Callithrix jacchus: one gene and its partners. The main gene of each other region encodes a partner of the protein of the gene in region 2 in a complex. Links are inferred from orthologs where the notes say so. Each region holds a gene or a part of one and is shown on either strand. Other genes may lie near its edges. The genes, in order: PPIE, PRPF19 and XAB2.

The links.
Region 1: PRPF19 (region 2) and PPIE share a complex: the UniProt entries of both Homo sapiens proteins name them as parts of the XAB2 complex. The link is inferred for Callithrix jacchus from reciprocal best matches to the Homo sapiens genes PRPF19 and PPIE.
Region 3: PRPF19 (region 2) and XAB2 share a complex: the UniProt entries of both Homo sapiens proteins name them as parts of the XAB2 complex. The link is inferred for Callithrix jacchus from reciprocal best matches to the Homo sapiens genes PRPF19 and XAB2.

What each region holds. Positions count from the first base shown.
Region 1 is NC_133508.1:76,290,475-76,296,145, forward strand, and holds the start of PPIE (peptidyl-prolyl cis-trans isomerase E), read left to right. Parts: upstream 1-1,965; 5' UTR 1,966-1,984; coding exon 1,985-2,015; intron 2,016-3,350; coding exon 3,351-3,449; intron 3,450-4,960; coding exon 4,961-5,004; intron 5,005-5,485; coding exon 5,486-5,512; intron 5,513-5,671. UniProt on the Homo sapiens protein: Involved in pre-mRNA splicing as component of the spliceosome. Combines RNA-binding and PPIase activities.
Region 2 is NC_133511.1:117,919,577-117,924,595, reverse strand, and holds part of PRPF19 (pre-mRNA-processing factor 19), read left to right. Parts: intron 1-1,164; coding exon 1,165-1,320; intron 1,321-1,576; coding exon 1,577-1,646; intron 1,647-1,879; coding exon 1,880-1,965; intron 1,966-2,240; coding exon 2,241-2,411; intron 2,412-2,547; coding exon 2,548-2,653; intron 2,654-5,019. UniProt on the Homo sapiens protein: Ubiquitin-protein ligase which is a core component of several complexes mainly involved pre-mRNA splicing and DNA repair. Required for pre-mRNA splicing as component of the spliceosome.
Region 3 is NC_133523.1:7,196,609-7,202,033, reverse strand, and holds the end of XAB2 (pre-mRNA-splicing factor SYF1), read left to right. Parts: intron 1-603; coding exon 604-766; intron 767-860; coding exon 861-1,051; intron 1,052-3,152; coding exon 3,153-3,275; intron 3,276-3,373; coding exon 3,374-3,545; intron 3,546-3,745; coding exon 3,746-3,875; intron 3,876-3,963; coding exon 3,964-4,073; intron 4,074-4,158; coding exon 4,159-4,220; 3' UTR 4,221-4,265; downstream 4,266-5,425. UniProt on the Homo sapiens protein: Involved in pre-mRNA splicing as component of the spliceosome. Involved in transcription-coupled repair (TCR), transcription and pre-mRNA splicing.

The DNA of each region.
Region 1 (5,671 bases), on a different chromosome or scaffold from region 2:
GATTGGGTGAGAGGACCCAGGCTGGAATGCAGTGACAGCCCCTGTCAAAAAAAAAAAAAATCACCTGGACAAGTGGATTGGAGGAACAGAGCCACTATCAACTCCTCCTCAGTTTGTGCCATTAACTCCTGGTCTCCAGGGTTCCAACCAATTCATTCTGGGCCTAGTGGTCAGAGCACTATTTAAAAGGACGTGACAATGTAACTCTCCTGTTGTAACTCAGCAGCTTCTCAAAGCCCCCAAATCTTCCAGGTGGCTTACAGCATCCTCATGATGTGGCCCTCTGCCCACCTTTGCCATGTGATTATCATGCCCTCCACCCCACCACCCCAGACTCTGGTCTTTTAGTCCCTTGAGTGTGCAGAAGTGGTCTCCTCCTCTCTCTGGCTCCTTTTCCTTCTGAATTCAGCTTAAATTTCACCTCAGGAAGGTCTTAACCCCCTGCTCTATCTAAAATAGGTGGTCCCATTATTTTCCTACCACCTGTAATTTATTTATTAGTGGGTTTAGTCCAAGATGCTCATCCAAACTGCACTATTTTGTAAGCTCCCTGCTATTTTGCAGACCTTGGTCAAAGTGAAACATTTTACAGGGGTTTGGGCTGTGAGAAACCTCCTGCCTCACCACCTGACCACAAGATGGACAAAGGCCCAACTACCAACTAAAGAAACATCCCGATCACATCTTGCTGGGCAAAGGCCCAAGGGACACCACGATGACATCCCACTGGAACAAGGGCCAAACATGCTCATGAGAACATCTTATCAATACCTTGCTGGGCAGCAAGCCATACTGCCCAGACCCCTCCCACCCATACCTATAAATTGTTCCAGCCTGTAAGCAGTGGTGGGCACTGGCATTAGGCTAGTTCCCCACTTCTGTAGGTTTTATGCTAGACATAAAGCCTGTGTTTGGTGTCGAGTCTCCCTCTGTGTGTGTGTGTGTGTGTGTGTGTGTGTGTGTGTGTGTGTTTATTTAACCCTTGCCTTCCCTTTAAAACCTAACACAAGAGTCAGCAAATGTTCTTCCTGAAGAGCCAGATGGTAAATATTACTGTAGGCTTTGCAGGCCATAGCTCTTCTGCCCTTGTAGCAGGAAAGCAGCCAAGTCATACTTACGGAAATAAGCGTGGCTGTATCCCCATAAAGCTTTCTTTATGGACAGTGAAATTTTAATTTCACATTAATTTTCATGTGCTAAAAAAAATATATATGTGTATATATGTATATATATGTGTGTGTATATATATATATATATATAGAGAGAGAGAGAGAGAGAGAGAAAGAGAGAGAGAGAGAGTTGGTGTTTCGCTCTTGTCACCAGGCTGGAGTGCAATGGTGCGTTCTCCACTCACTGCAACCTCCACCTCCTGGGTTCAAGCGATTCTCTAGCCTCAGTGTCCTGGGCAGCTGGGATTACAGGAGCCCGCCACCACGCCCAGCTAATTTTTGTATTTTTAGTATAGAGAGGATTTTACCATGTTGGCCAGGCTGGTCTCGAACTTCTGACCTCAAGTGATCCGCCCGCGTCAGCCTCCCAAAGTGCTGGGATTACAGGCGTGAGCCACCACGCCTGGGCAAGAAAATATTCTTAATTTTTTCCCAACGATTTCAAAGGTAAAAATCATTCTTAGCTCCTGGGTTGTCAAAAAAAAGACGCGCAGGATGACCACGCACCGTAGTTTATCGTTTGCCCAAAAGAGTCGGATTGATTTGGCCAAGGTTTGCCTGCCCCAACACCGTGAGCCCTGGGAAGCGCCAGGATCCCGTCCTCTTGTTCACCGTGGCGCACCGCAAGCTGTCCCGGATGCTTCCGGGCAGCGGGTTGCGGGTTGGACCAACGCCAGGGTGGGCGGGGTCTGAGAGGTGAGGGCTGCGGGGATGGGGCGGGGCCAAAGAGGGGCGGAACAGTGGGGAAGGGGGCGGGACAGTGGGGAAGGGGGCGGGTCGAGTGCCGGCTTCCGGCGGAAAAGGGCGCGAGCAAGATGGCCACTACCAAGCGCGTTTTGTACGTGGGTGAGCAGGCGGTGGCGCTAGCTGGAGTCTGGGCGAACGCGACCCCCAGAAGGTCGGGGCGTGGGGTGGGACATGTCTCTGAACCAGGAGGACGGCGAGCAACTGTCAAGGCTGGGTCTGGCGGTGGGCCCGGCGGTATAGCTCTGTCTCTAGTAGATGGTAGCAAACTAGAATGATCTTGGGAAAATGTATATTTGAAACCGTAACTTCTCTGCTTAAACTCCTTCAAAGGTTTCCCACTGTTCTCAGGAAAAAGTGCAAACTACTTAGCAGTAGCCACTTCTCCAGCTTCTTTGCTTTGCTTCCTAATTCCCTGGGTCTCCCGAAAAATGACCCATTTGCTCCTAAGTGTCAGGCTATTTCACGCCTTTGGACCTCTGCTTTTGCGAACTCCCTTGCAGTGAACAGCCTTGCCGCACACCTCAGGTGTGTGAACCCGAGACGGAATTCTGACTTGCTAGCCCGCTGAGCTCCAACGGGCCCCGAGGAGCGGTAGAGGAATATTAATGGTCCTCCAGATCCTCTTGTTAATTTGTTTTACAAACATCCAGTGCAGTGACGGCTCAGCCTCAGCCCCAGCGCCAGCCCCAGCCTAAGGGAAGGAGTTCCCAGACTAGCCAGAAAAGAAGTGGGAATTACCTCAGTAGCACACTTTTGATAAGTGCTGTAGTGGGGATGGACTATGATGATAGGGGCTTGGCTGCGGGACAAATGACCCATTCTTCTGGAGAAGTGAGGGCAAACTCTGGATGAGGTGATGCCAGAACTGATGAGCGGAAGTTAGCTACGTTACCAAAGCAGAAGCAAGGCTGTTCACTGCAAGGGATTCACAAAAGCAGAGGTCCAAAGGCGTGAAATAGCCTGACACTTGGGGGCAAGTGGGTTATTTTTCAGGTGACCTAGGGAATTGGGAAGCAAAGCAAAGAAGCTGGAGAGGTGGCTACCACTAAGGAGTTTGCACTTTATCCTGAGGACAGTGGGAAGTGTCTGAAGGAGTTTAAGCAAAGAAGTTACAGGTGCAAATCTGCATTTTCCTAAGATCATTCTAGTAGGCTTTGTGGAATTGGTAGAGGGAATGGAGGCAGGGAGGTCAGTCGTGAAGCTATTGCAGTAAACCGAGGACTAGATGATAATCTGAAAGCAGGGTGAAGAGAGGAATGTTTTCATAAGTATGGATGGGCAGAGATGAGAGGGGTGTGCGTATGTATGTGTGTGTGTACCCAAAGAACTGAATGGAAGGACCCTGTCCCCTGGCTAGCATGCTAACTGGGCTGCCAAGGACTTCTGCAAGAGTATGGAGATCAGTGGCTCAAAAGGCTCTTGACTTATTTGCAGGTGGACTGGCAGAGGAGGTGGACGACAAAGTTCTTCATGCTGCATTCATTCCTTTTGGAGACATCACAGATATTCAGATTCCTCTGGATTATGAAACAGGTGAGTTATTTTAGTGTCTCTCATGTTCAGAATCCTCCTATTAGGAAAAGGCCTTAAAAAAAATTAAAGTCACATCACAATTCTAAATATATATTCTAAATATGGTTAGTATACACTACAGTTAAGTTCATGAAGGTGCCTGGTGACAGTGATCTTGATGGAGAAGGAATGTTCTGAGGCCATGTGGTTGTGAAATTTAAATTCTTTTCAGAGTCTTCAGCTGTTGGGTTGAGATAAGACAGGTTTTTTGGTAGACCAGTAGGGAGATAGGTTTGAACTACATTGAGATTTGAATGTTGTTTTAATCTATCTGGATATTTGGTTCAATTCATTCACTTCAGAGGACAGTAAAGAAAAAAACATGAAAAAAAGAAAAATAATTAAAATTAATCTATCTGGATGGGTACCCTATCCCACCTGCTCCTTCTTGGCATCTGTGCTATTAAATGAGGCAGCAGGAAAGTCTAGCCCCATGATGGTGGGCGGGGGTGGGGTTCTTGGCCTCTGAATACCTGAGTGGGTTTCCCTTCAGTTGGTATCACAATTACAGTTCAGTTTTCTATTTTACCTTTGTTGTCATTTGTAGGATTGTAGTTTTAGGCCCAGTTTTATCATCAAACTTGCATATGATTGTTAGCAAGGTCTTTAAACTCTCTGGGCCTGAGGAATCTTTAATTTTAAAATGGGAAGGTTATATTGGCTTTCTAAGGGCCCTTCTAGCTCTGACTTCTATAATTAACGTTTTTGTGCTTAGCCTTTCTAGTTAGTTCAGCATTTTCCTGAGTATAAAGACTGAGCATCTTTATCAAGTTTTAGGATTCATGCTTTATGCACAGTTGATGCACAAAATGTATATTTGGATATATAATTGATGGGTCAAATGACTTGCTTTTTAAAATTAATTAATTATTCTTTTGAGATGGAGTCTTTCTCTGTTGCCAGGCTGGAGTGCAGTGGCGTGATCTCGGCTCACGCCGAGTCTCCTAGGTTCAAGCGATTCCCCTCCCTCAGCCTCCCGAGTAGCTGGGACTACAAGTGTGCACCACCGCACGCCTGGCTATTCTTTTTTTTTATTTTATTTTAATAGAGATGGGGTTTCACCGTGTTGGCCAGGATGGTCTCGATCTTCTGACCTTGTGATCCACCCATCTCGGCCTCCCAAAGTGCTGGGTTTACAGGCGTGAGCCACTGCACCTGGACATCTTTATTTTTCTAGTTGCCTTGCATGTAATAGTTAAGGTTTTAAGTTTGGCTTTGGTATAATAATACTTATTTTAAAGATTAAAAATACAGTTTGTTATTTAGCTATGTCCATTAAAAAAACAAAGTTTATTATTGCTTAAAGTATTGTTTAAGAAGAATCAAAGAATGAGATTCCTTCTTCTTAAATAGCTATTGGATAGAATTACAGGTGTTCAGATATGGCATGTAACTGACTTCACTTTGTGACCATCCTGTTTCTTCCCATTGCCCCACATAGTAATTACTTGTTTTTGTTTTCCATTTTGCAGAAAAGCACCGAGGATTTGCTTTTGTTGAATTCGAGTTGGCAGAGGTGAGAGTCTGTGTTACTAGTGTTTAGTCCTTGGTTTGTGGTGGTGGTACTGATTACAAAGGAAGCTTTTCACCATTTGATTAGGTTGTTGGGCCTTAAGCTGATACTGCCAGAGAGATCAGAAGTGTTTTTCTAAGAAAGGCTTCCCTCACATAATCAGACTGGACTGTGAATAACACATCAGACCTTCTTCCAGGCCCTTCCCTTCTTGCCCTGCAGTGGAGCTCCTACACCCCTGTTCATTGAGCATTCTTGCCTGGCAGCAGTGGTGATTATTTCTTGTGCCTTCAACTGGATGGCAGATTGTTGCACCACCAGCTCTAAAATCAGCCAGGAAGTGCTCTTTGTTAGAAACACACACAACCTAGGCAAGAAATGTAGAGGTGGCATTTTCCTAGATTTTTGCTTCTAAGTATGTTTAGACACCATAAGAAGCATTTGGCTGCAAGCCTAAACTTGTACCTTTGTCTTTTCTTTGCAGGATGCTGCAGCAGCTATCGACAACATGGTATGGCTAGGAATCTTTGTTATAGCCGAAATTGCTTTTTGGTGGTATAGAGGGTCCTTATTCATATATCAGTTTTCTGGACCTCCAAAGTTACAAGGTTGCAAGGGGAGGTAAAAATTCTCATGTGAAAATATTCATTGTGAATTGATCACTTATAAA
Region 2 (5,019 bases):
CACCTGGAGGGGCTTCACTTTGGAGTTCTGGAGATTGCTCTTAACTCTGCGTGAGACCTTCTAAAGCAGTGGTCTTTCAACCAGGGAGAGAAAGGAAATGTGTAGTCTGACAAGCATATTCACTTAAATGTTATATTAGGGAAAGAAAAAAATCCTATAGCGTTCATAATACAAACTACAGAAAACAACATTCAGCACAGTCTCGACTCACAGGTATGAGGAAGACAGATACATGTGCTTTCCCATGATCCTCCAAGAGATGTAAAAACCATGTTGGCTATTGAAAATGGTGTGGGTTGTCAACAGAAAGTCTGGTTTACAGAGTAAAGGAAACTCATGGGACCAGAAGAATGATATTATGGGATTCGAATTTTAAGCCCAAGACAGTTTGGGTTTAGGGCTGCAGGACGGTGGTTGGTTAGTGCTTCCCAGTCAAGCTCTCCCTTGGACTTTAGGGAAATGAGAAATGTAAGAATACCATGGTGAATTTTTCATGACTGAATGTATTCAAATCCAAAGCACTATTTTCTTGCTTATGGGATGTCAATAGTTATGTCTCATGAAATTGTATTGCTAAAAAAGATGGTAGTTATTTTTACCTCATGGTTTTTAATGTCCTAACTAAACAAAAAAATCGGTAAGTGACACGAAATTCTCTCCCTGCCCAAGTTTTTTGGAAAATTAACTTACGGTGGAAATCCATAAATGTGGGATGTGCTGAAATACCACTGTGCAGCCCCTTACAGTCCCAGTACTGCTCAGACCTGTGCCATGCAGTACAGTACCAGTTAGGTACATGTGGCTATTTAAATTTCAATGAAATAGAATAAAAAATTTAAACCCTCAATGGTACTAGCTACATGTTTCCTCCTCTGGTCCTGGAAATGGGGTGGGAAAATCGCTCTATGTTGCAGTTAGCCTTTTTACCACTAGATGGCGAGGCCTCCTACACAAGTCCTGATGCTGTATGAGTTACCATTTTAATAGCGTTTACCACTGGCTGTCTTGGGCACCATTGGGTGGGTAGGTGGTTCCAGGGAGGGCAGGGCTGAAAGGAGAAGCAGTTGTTGGTAGTTGTGGGCATCCCCAGCCCCCTTTTATAAGATTGTTAGGATCTATATCCTTTTTCTGACTGATACTCTCTGATATTTGTTTTCCTTTTAGGACCTGGTGTTTTCTGCTTCCCCCGATGCCACTATTAGGATTTGGTCGGTCCCCAATGCGTCTTGTGTACAGGTGGTTCGGGCCCATGAGAGTGCTGTGACCGGCCTCAGCCTTCATGCCACTGGTGACTATCTCCTGAGCTCCTCCGATGATCAGGTGCGGTCCCAGCCAGTGCCCTGGAGAGGCCTGCTGGTCCCCAAGCTTGAACATCCTGGGTGGCAGGAACATCTTCCCACCCCAGGTGGTTCCCCAGAACCTCAAAGGGGAATGTTTCCTCTGCTGGGAGGTGCTAGGTTTGCCAGGGTTTGCGAAACCAGGGGCTCTGCCTTCCTGAAGGGCCACCAAAGCCTAGGACCCACTCTCTCTCTGACTCCATCGTCTCTCTCTCTCTCTCTCTTTTTTTTTTTTCCAGTACTGGGCTTTCTCTGACATCCAAACAGGGCGTGTGCTTACCAAGGTGACAGATGAGACCTCCGGCTGCTGTAAGTTGCCTTGTAGACACTCAGCTTTTTGTTTGCTGTTTATCATTTATTTTTATGTTTTATTTAGTCATTTGCTTATTTGTTCTAAAGATACATTTACCACCAGCACCTGTCTAGTGCCAGGCTTTGTCCTGGGTGCACTGACGAATGTGAAGAACAAGGAACCTACCTTTGCTGCTCTTAGTCTCTCCCTGGTGGGCTCTAATCACAGGTCTGTCTTCCCTCTTCCACAGCTCTCACCTGTGCACAGTTCCACCCTGACGGACTCATCTTTGGAACGGGAACCATGGACTCTCAGATCAAGATCTGGGACTTGAAGGTAGGAGAACATGGTAGGCCTCCATCTGAGGCCCCGGGCTGGAGGGAGCGTCTGTGACAGTGCAGTGCTGATTGGGTGCTTGTGGCACCTGGCCTTGAGGGTGGAGAGACACTGGCTGTGCATGTGTGATATGATGGTGTGGTCTGGGTGGCATCCTGCTGGCTGTCCTTCCTGGAAGGACAGTGGTGGACATCTCAGGTAGGAGTTTGCTGAGCCCCATTTTCTTCCTCTCGTGATGTATGGGTGACATATTTTACTCCCCACCGCCACTGTAGGAACGAACCAATGTGGCCAACTTCCCTGGCCACTCGGGCCCCATCACCAGCATTGCCTTCTCTGAGAATGGTTACTACCTGGCGACAGCGGCTGATGACTCCTCTGTTAAGCTTTGGGATCTGCGCAAGCTTAAGAACTTTAAGACGTTGCAGCTGGATAGCAACTTCGAGGTGTGCCCCTCTCCCTCCCCAGCTTCCCATTGTGCCTCCTTATTTGTTGATTATTGAATTAATCTCATTGCTTCTGCTTATCTGCAATTGCCCCATAGTTTCTGTTCCCCTCGTGTGACCTTTCTGTTTCTAACAGGTAAAGTCACTGATCTTTGACCAGAGTGGTACCTACCTGGCCCTTGGGGGCACGGATGTCCAGATCTACATCTGCAAACAATGGACGGAGATTCTTCACTTTACAGGTAGAGGCTGGTCTCTAGGTGCCCAGGCCTGGAGGGAAGCCTCACTGGGTTAGGAATCTCTAAGGCTTGCATGAATTTACCTAAGCAGCTTTCGGTTACCACCTAAGGCAGAGCTTTATAGCTAAGGAAGCAGACTGAGACTGCATGGCAGTAAATGCTAGTACCAGCTCTGCCACTTCCATGCCTTGTGGCATTGGGCAGGTTGCTGGAGGAAGAGAAGACTCCTCCCTCTGAAGGTTTGCTAACTGAATCTGAAATAAATGGACATTAGACAGAGTGACAGGAGGAAAGCCATTTTAATTCTCTGTGCACGAGAGTCCCACAAAACATTAGACTTGCAGAGGGTCAGATGATTGAAGATCATACAGTCACATCCCTTAATGGGGATATGTTCTGAGAAATATCTTGTTAGGCCATTTCGCCATGTGCAACCATTATAGCGTGTACTTACACATACCTAGTGGTGTGGCCTACTACACACCAAGGCTAGTGCTATAACCTTAGTAGAGTCTATTATTGCTCCTAGGCTACAAACCTGTACAGTGTATTAAATGTACTGAATACAGTTATAACACAATGGTAAGTATTTGTGTATCTAAACAGATCTAAACATAGAAAAGGTTCAGTTAAAAATAAGGTATGAGAGATTGTTAAAAAATGGTGCACTGGGAAATGGTGCTTGCCATGAATGGAGCTTGCAGGACTGGAAGTGGCTTTCAGTGAGTGAGTGGTGAGTGAATGTGAAGGCCTAGGACATTACCATACACTGACTGCTGTAGACTTTGTAAACACAGTACACTTCGGTTCTACTAAGTTTATAAAACGCTTTTTCTTCAGTAATAAATTAGCCTTAGCTAACTTTTTTACTTTATAAACTTAAAAAATTGACTCTTGTAACAACATTTAGCTTAAAGCAAACATTGTACAGCTGTACAAAAATATTGTCTCTCTTTACATCCTTGTTCTATAAGCTTTTTTCTGTTTTCTAATATTTTTACTTTTTAATTTTTTCCTGTTAAAAACTAAGATACAAGCACACATTAGCCTAGGCCTACGGGTCAGGAACACCAGCTGTATTAGTCCGTTCTCACACTGTTATGAAGAACTGCCTGAGACTGGGTAATTTATAAGGGCGAGAGGCTTAATGACTCACAGTGACTGGGGAGGCCTCAGGAAGCTTCCAATCATGGTAGAAGGGAAAGCAGCAGCGGGAGAGACAAATGCTGAGCAAAGGGGGTAAAGTCCCTTATAAAATCATCAGATCTCTTGAGAACTCAGTATCCTGAGAGCAGCATGGGAGTAACCACCTCCACAATTCAATTACTTCCCACCGGGTTCCTCCCACAACATGTCGGGATTATGGGCACTACAATTCAACGTGAGCTTTGAGTGGGGGCACAGCCATATCACCAACATCACTGTCTTTACCTCCACATCTTGTCCCACTGGAAGGTCCCAGGGGGCACTAACACGCATAGACCTGTCATCTCCTTTGATGATGCCTTCTTCCTGGATACCTCTTGAAAGGGCCTGCCTGGTGCTGTTTTATAGTTAACTTTTTTTTGTAAGTAGAAAGAATATACTTAAAATAATGCCAAAAAGTACAGTATAGGTATACCTTGTCTTTTTGCACTCAGCTTTATTGTGCTTTGTGGATCCTTTGTTTTTTGTGAATGGAAGATTTTTGGCAGCCCTGCCCCAAGTGGGTCTGTCAGTGCCATTTTTCCAACAGTGTCTATTCACTTGGTGTCTGTGTGTCACATTTTGGTAATTCTCACAGCATTTCAAACTTTTTCGTGATACGTATCCGTTATGGTGATCTCTGATTAATGATCTTTGATGTTGCTATTGTAATTGTTTGGGGGGGGGCACCATGAACTGTGCCCATATAAGATGTTGGATTTCATTGATAAATGAAATGGGGTGTGTGTGTTCTGACCACTCCAGCCACCAGTTGTTCCCCATCTCTCTCCCTTTCAGACCTCCCTGTTGCCTTAGACACAACAGTATTGAAACTAGGCCAGTTAATAACCATATTATGGCCTCTAAGTGTAACAAGTGAAAGAAAAGAGTCCCATGTCTCTTACTTGAAATTAAACGACATGATTAAGCTCAGGGAGGAAGCATGTGAAAAGCCAAATAGGCCAAAAACTAGGCCTCTTACACCAAATATTAGTCAAGTTATCAATGCAAAGGAAAATTACTGAAGGAAATTGAAAGTGCTACTCCAGTGAACAACACACGAATGATAAGAAAGCAGAACATCCTTATTGCTGATCTGGAGAAAATTTCAGTGGTCTGGAGAGAAGACCAGACCAGCCGCAACATTCCCTTAAGCCAAAGCCTAATCCAGAGCAAGATCCTAA
Region 3 (5,425 bases), on a different chromosome or scaffold from region 2:
CCATGTACACCCATGACTCGTGGGGAGGGTGTTGGTGCCAATGTGTGTGGTCTCTGCCTGCCTCACAGTTTAGGAGATGGCCTGTAGGGGGGCCATGGGGTGTCTTGCGTGTCTCCTTGTCAAGGTCCTGTCCCAAGGCGCATGTCTCCATATTGAGGTCCTGTCCCGAGGCCAGAGTGGTCATGTTTGTGTGTTTCTATGGATCGTGTGGGCTTTACGCAGATACACAAATGGGGAGGTCGTACATGCGCCTACATGCTGCTGCCTGCCCATCTGCCTGGGGGGGTGTGGCCTTCTCCCTGGGGACTGGCAGCCAGTGTCAGCGGAGCTGGGGAGCCACCCACCGTCACCCATAATGTCACCTCCTATGGGACCAGACTTTGCTTCACAGGTCTCATGGCACCCCTGTTCTTTTGATTCTCAGAGGGAGATTGTGCAGAGCAAAGACCCCCATAAATGTCATTAGGCACAGGGAGGCATGGACAGGGAAGGGCCTGAGCGAGACCCTGGCAGGCTCCCTACAGGTGTGACCCAAGGACATCCCAGCTTCCCAGTGGTCTCTACCTACAGACTCTTAACGTGTGACTCCCCCTCTGGCAACAGGCGTATGAGCGCGGCATCTCGCTGTTCAAGTGGCCCAATGTGTCGGACATCTGGAGCACCTACCTGACCAAATTCATCGCCCGCTATGGGGGCCGCAAGCTGGAGCGGGCACGGGACCTGTTTGAACAGGCTCTGGATGGCTGCCCACCAAAATATGCCAAGAGTGAGGCGGGCAGAGGGAGTGCGGTGGGCAGGCAGGCCAGGTTTCTGACTAGCCCCGGCCGACCACGCTCCCCTCTCCCCGCTGCCCCACACAGCCTTGTACCTGTTGTATGCGCAGCTGGAGGAGGAGTGGGGCCTGGCCCGGCATGCCATGGCCGTGTACGAGCGCGCCACCAGGGCCGTGGAGCCTGCGCAGCAGTACGACATGTTCAACATCTACATCAAGCGGGCGGCCGAGATCTACGGAGTCACCCACACCCGAGGCATCTACCAGAAGGCCATCGAGGTGCCCATCGAAGGGGGCCGGGCTGGTGGGAGGGGCTGGGGAGGGGCCTTCCGGAATAGCTGTGGTGTGGTTGGGAGCCCCCGAGCCTACCCCCTCATTTATTCCCCATGGACTCACTACCCCCAGCCTGGCCTCACTCCCATCCCCCTGCCTCACTCACCCCAGCCTCCCCGCCAAGGCCTCACTCCCCAACCCCGGCCTCACTCCCCCAGCCCTCTGCCTCACTCACCTCAGCCTCCCCTGCATGGCCTTACCACCCGGCCTCAGCGTCTGAGGCCTCACATGCCCCTTGGCTACTCTCCCTCCTCTGGCTTTCTCCTCCCTTCACTCCCCTAGAATAGCCCTTCTCCTTCACTGCTTCACTCCTCCCCCGCTTCACTCCCTGACCCAGGCCTAACTCCCGGAGGCCTCCCAGCCTCACTTCTCCCACCTGACTCCCTTCGTCCTCACTCTCAGCCTCTGCCCCTGGCCTCATTCCCAGAGGCAGCACTCCTTCCCCCAACCCCCTGACTCACTGCCACCATCTCACTCCCCCCAGCCTCCCTCTTTACTCCCCTACCCTGGCCTCACTACCCCCACAAGCCTTACTGCCTCCCCCTGGCCTAACTCCCCCCAAGGCCTCACCCCCTCCCCCGGCCTCACCCCCTCCCCCTGGCCTCACCCCATCTTGGCCTCACTTCCCCTCCCCATCCTTGGCTTCACTCCCCTGAACTTTCTTCTCCCCCACTTCACTCCCCCGACCTTACTCCTTCCCCCTCAGCGTCACCCCTGCTTACATCTCTCATGGCCACTGCCTCCCCACCTTACTCCTCCTCCCCACTTCACTCCCCTACCCCCCACACTGATTCACTCCTCCCCGCCCCTGCCTCACTATCCCCCATGGCCTCACTCCCCGGTGGCCTCACTCCCCTAGGCCTCACGCCTCCTGGTCTCACCCACCCCATCTCACTTCCCAAGGCCTCACACCCCCTCCTCGCCTCACCCTCCCCCTGCCTCACTGCCTGTGCATTCTGTGCTCACTGCCCCCCACCTCACTCCCTTCCCCGCCACGGCCTCACTCCCCCTCCCACGGCCTCACTCCCAGGCTCATTCTTGGCCTCACCCCTTTCAGCCTCACTCCCCCCAGCCTCATGCCACCCGTCTTACCCCACTTGGCCTCACTCCCCCTCCATCCCTCCTGGCCACACACCCCCAGACCTCACCCCCCAGGTCCCCAGCCTCATTCCTCAAGGCCTCCCAGCCTTACTCCTTGCGGCCTCACTCCCCCCGGCCTCAACCCCCGACAGCCTCTCACTCCCCCTGCCACCGCCTCACCCCTCAAAGCCTCACCTCCTCAGCTACTCCCCCACCTCACTCCCTCCCACTGGCTTCACTCCCCCTCCATCTTACTCCACCCCACCTCACTGCCCCAGGCCTTACTCCTTCACTCCAGCCTCACTCTTCCCCCCCGGCCTCACTCCCTCCCAGCCTCACTCCTTCCCCCGCCCTGGCCTCACTCCCCCGTGGCTTCAGTCCCTGTGGCCTCACTGCCCAGAGGCTTCACTCCTCCCAGCCTCACTCCCCCTCCCTGTCTCACCCCCCTCATTTCACTCCCTGCAGCCTCACCCCCCAACCCTCCCACATGACTGCTCCTTCCCACCAGCCTCACTCCAACCCTAGGTCTCACTGCCCCCCTCACTCCCTGGCTCACTCCCAGCCTCAGTACCCAGCGTCACTTCCTGAGGCCTCACTCCCGGCACCTCATTCCCGACCTCACTCCCCCTGGCCTTATTCCCTGTGGCCTCACTCCCACTGGCCTTACTTCCTGAGGCCTCACTCCTCCCTGGCTTCACTCCCCCTGGCCTCACTTCCCAAGGCCTCACTCTCCTGAGGCCTCACTTCCCCTGGCCTCAGCCCAACCTGTTCTCACTCCACCCTGGCCTTACTCCCCAAGGCCTCACTCCTTGTGGCCTCACTCCTGGCCTCCCTTTCCGGCCTCACTCCCTGCAGTCTCACTCTCTGAGGCCTCACTCCCCCAGGCTCTTTCCCCGGCCTCACTCCCCGTGGCCTCACCTTTCCTGGCCTCCCTAACCACCCCCCACCGACCCGTCGTCGTGCGCAGGTGCTGTCCGATGAGCATGCACGTGAGATGTGCCTGCGGTTCGCAGACATGGAGTGCAAGCTGGGGGAGATCGACCGCGCCCGGGCCATCTACAGCTTCTGCTCCCAGATCTGCGACCCCCGGGTAGGGCTGGGGGCTGTGGGAGAACAGGTATTTGGGTTGGGGGCTACGGTGGAGCCAGCCAGCTCATGAGCACCTGCCCTGCCCTGCCCCCCACACAGACGACCGGGGCGTTCTGGCAGACATGGAAGGACTTTGAGGTCCGGCATGGCAACGAGGACACCGTCAAGGAGATGCTGCGCATCCGGCGGAGTGTGCAGGCCACATACAACACACAGGTCAACTTCATGGCCTCGCAGATGCTCAAGGTCTCCGGCAGCGCCACGGGCACTGGTGAGCACGCAGCCATCGCTCACCTTGGCCGGCTGGGGCATCTCAGCCTGACCTGGCCTTCCTTTTTGGATCTGGGAGCCCTGGGGCTTCATGGGAACCTCCTTGAGGGCAGGGCCATTGCCTGGGGGACCAGGACAGCTTGGCATCTGATGTGTGGGAGGGGCCCCCATGGCACCGTTGCCCCTGCTTTCACCCCACAGTGTCCGACCTGGCCCCTGGGCAGAGCGGCATGGATGACATGAAGCTGTTGGAGCAGCGTGCAGAACAGCTGGCAGCCGAGGCAGAGCGAGACCAGCCCCTGCGCGCCCAGAGCAAGATCCTGTTCGTGAGGTGAGGGCAGGTCCTGGGAGGGGACAAGACAGGGACAGCCCCACGGGGTCCTGGGGTGGGGAACTGAGGCAGCTTGTTCTGTCCCCAGGAGCGACGCCTCCAGGGAGGAGCTGGCAGAGCTGGCGCAGCAGGTCAACCCCGAGGAAATCCAGCTGGGCGAGGATGAGGACGAGGACGAGATGGACCTGGAGCCCAACGGTGAGTGCCTGGCGGGGAGCAGGGCAGGGCGGGCCTCAGGATAGGACACTGCCCGGAGGGTGACTGGCTCCCACCTCCTCCACAGAGGTCCGGCTAGAGCAGCAGAGCGTGCCAGCTGCCGTGTTCGGGAGCCTGAAAGAAGACTGACCCATCCCTCCTCCCTTCCCCCAATACAGCCGTGTTTGTACATCATGGTCTGAGCCTCCTTCCTGCTGCCCAGGTGCCCGAGGGATTGCAGCTCAGGAGTGCCTGGCCCTGGGCCCGGATTGGCTGTTGCGGGAGGTGGGGCGGCCGGGCCCCAGGCCAGACACCACCCAGCCCCACCCGGCAGAGCCAGTTCTGGACTCGGGCAGCCAGTCCCTCCGCTGCCTGGGGCCTTGGAGTGGGTCCTGCCCAGAAACCTCCTTGAGACTCTATGGCTGTGGAAGGGTGATCCCGTCCCTGGCTGCCCAGGTCTCACTAGCCCCTGCCTCTCAGAGCCCTTCTGTTGTCCCAGGCATCTGCCACCTCCCAGGGTGGCACCCACTGTCAGAGCGAGCCTTGGAGTCAGGCAGGCTCTGGCCCAGCTCTGGAAACTGATTAGTAAGGCTCTTCTGTGCCTGGAGGGGGGCTGGGTGCCAGACGTCCTGCACGGCCCAGCACCAGGGCGTGGTCCTTAGTCCTAAGCCTGGGAAGCCATTATCAGGCTCTAGGCTATTAAGGGGTTTTAAGCATCAAGGGATATAATCAGATTTGTGCTTGGACTGGGTCACACAGGCTGCTGTGTCGGCAGGAGGCAGCTGGGGACATGGGGCGGCTTGGTCTGTTGGCTTGGACTTTGTGGAGAGGTGATGGGGCTGGAGAGGAGTGAATGAAGCGGGAGAGCCGAGCTATGTGGGACTGGGCAGAAGCTGGGCAGCCAGTGCCAGCCTGGGTTGTGTGGTGGGCCTTGCATCTGAGATGCCCAGGCCATGCCAAGGGGCAACGGGATCCTCAGAGAAGAGAAACCCAGAATCACTGGCTCAGGGTGGACGTAGAATTTGGCCCCACACCAAATGCCGGTGAGGGCCAGTAACAAATGCCACGCAGAATCCAGCAAGCAGGGCCAGCGAAACACCCCTGGGTGGGGGCTGGGGGTGATGGCAGGGAGGCAGGGCCCTCACAGACCCTGTGGCAGCAGCTGCATTAGAAGATTATAGGGGTAGAAAACATGAGTTGGTTTGAGAAAGAACAGGAGACCGGAAACACGCCCAGGGAGTGTGGGACCCCGGCCAGCCTTGGAGGGGACAAGGCTCAACTTCTCTTTAAATTATTTTATTCAAGAAGTGGGGAAGGACAGACAAGGGGACTGAGCTGAGCCCTGAGTCCCTGAA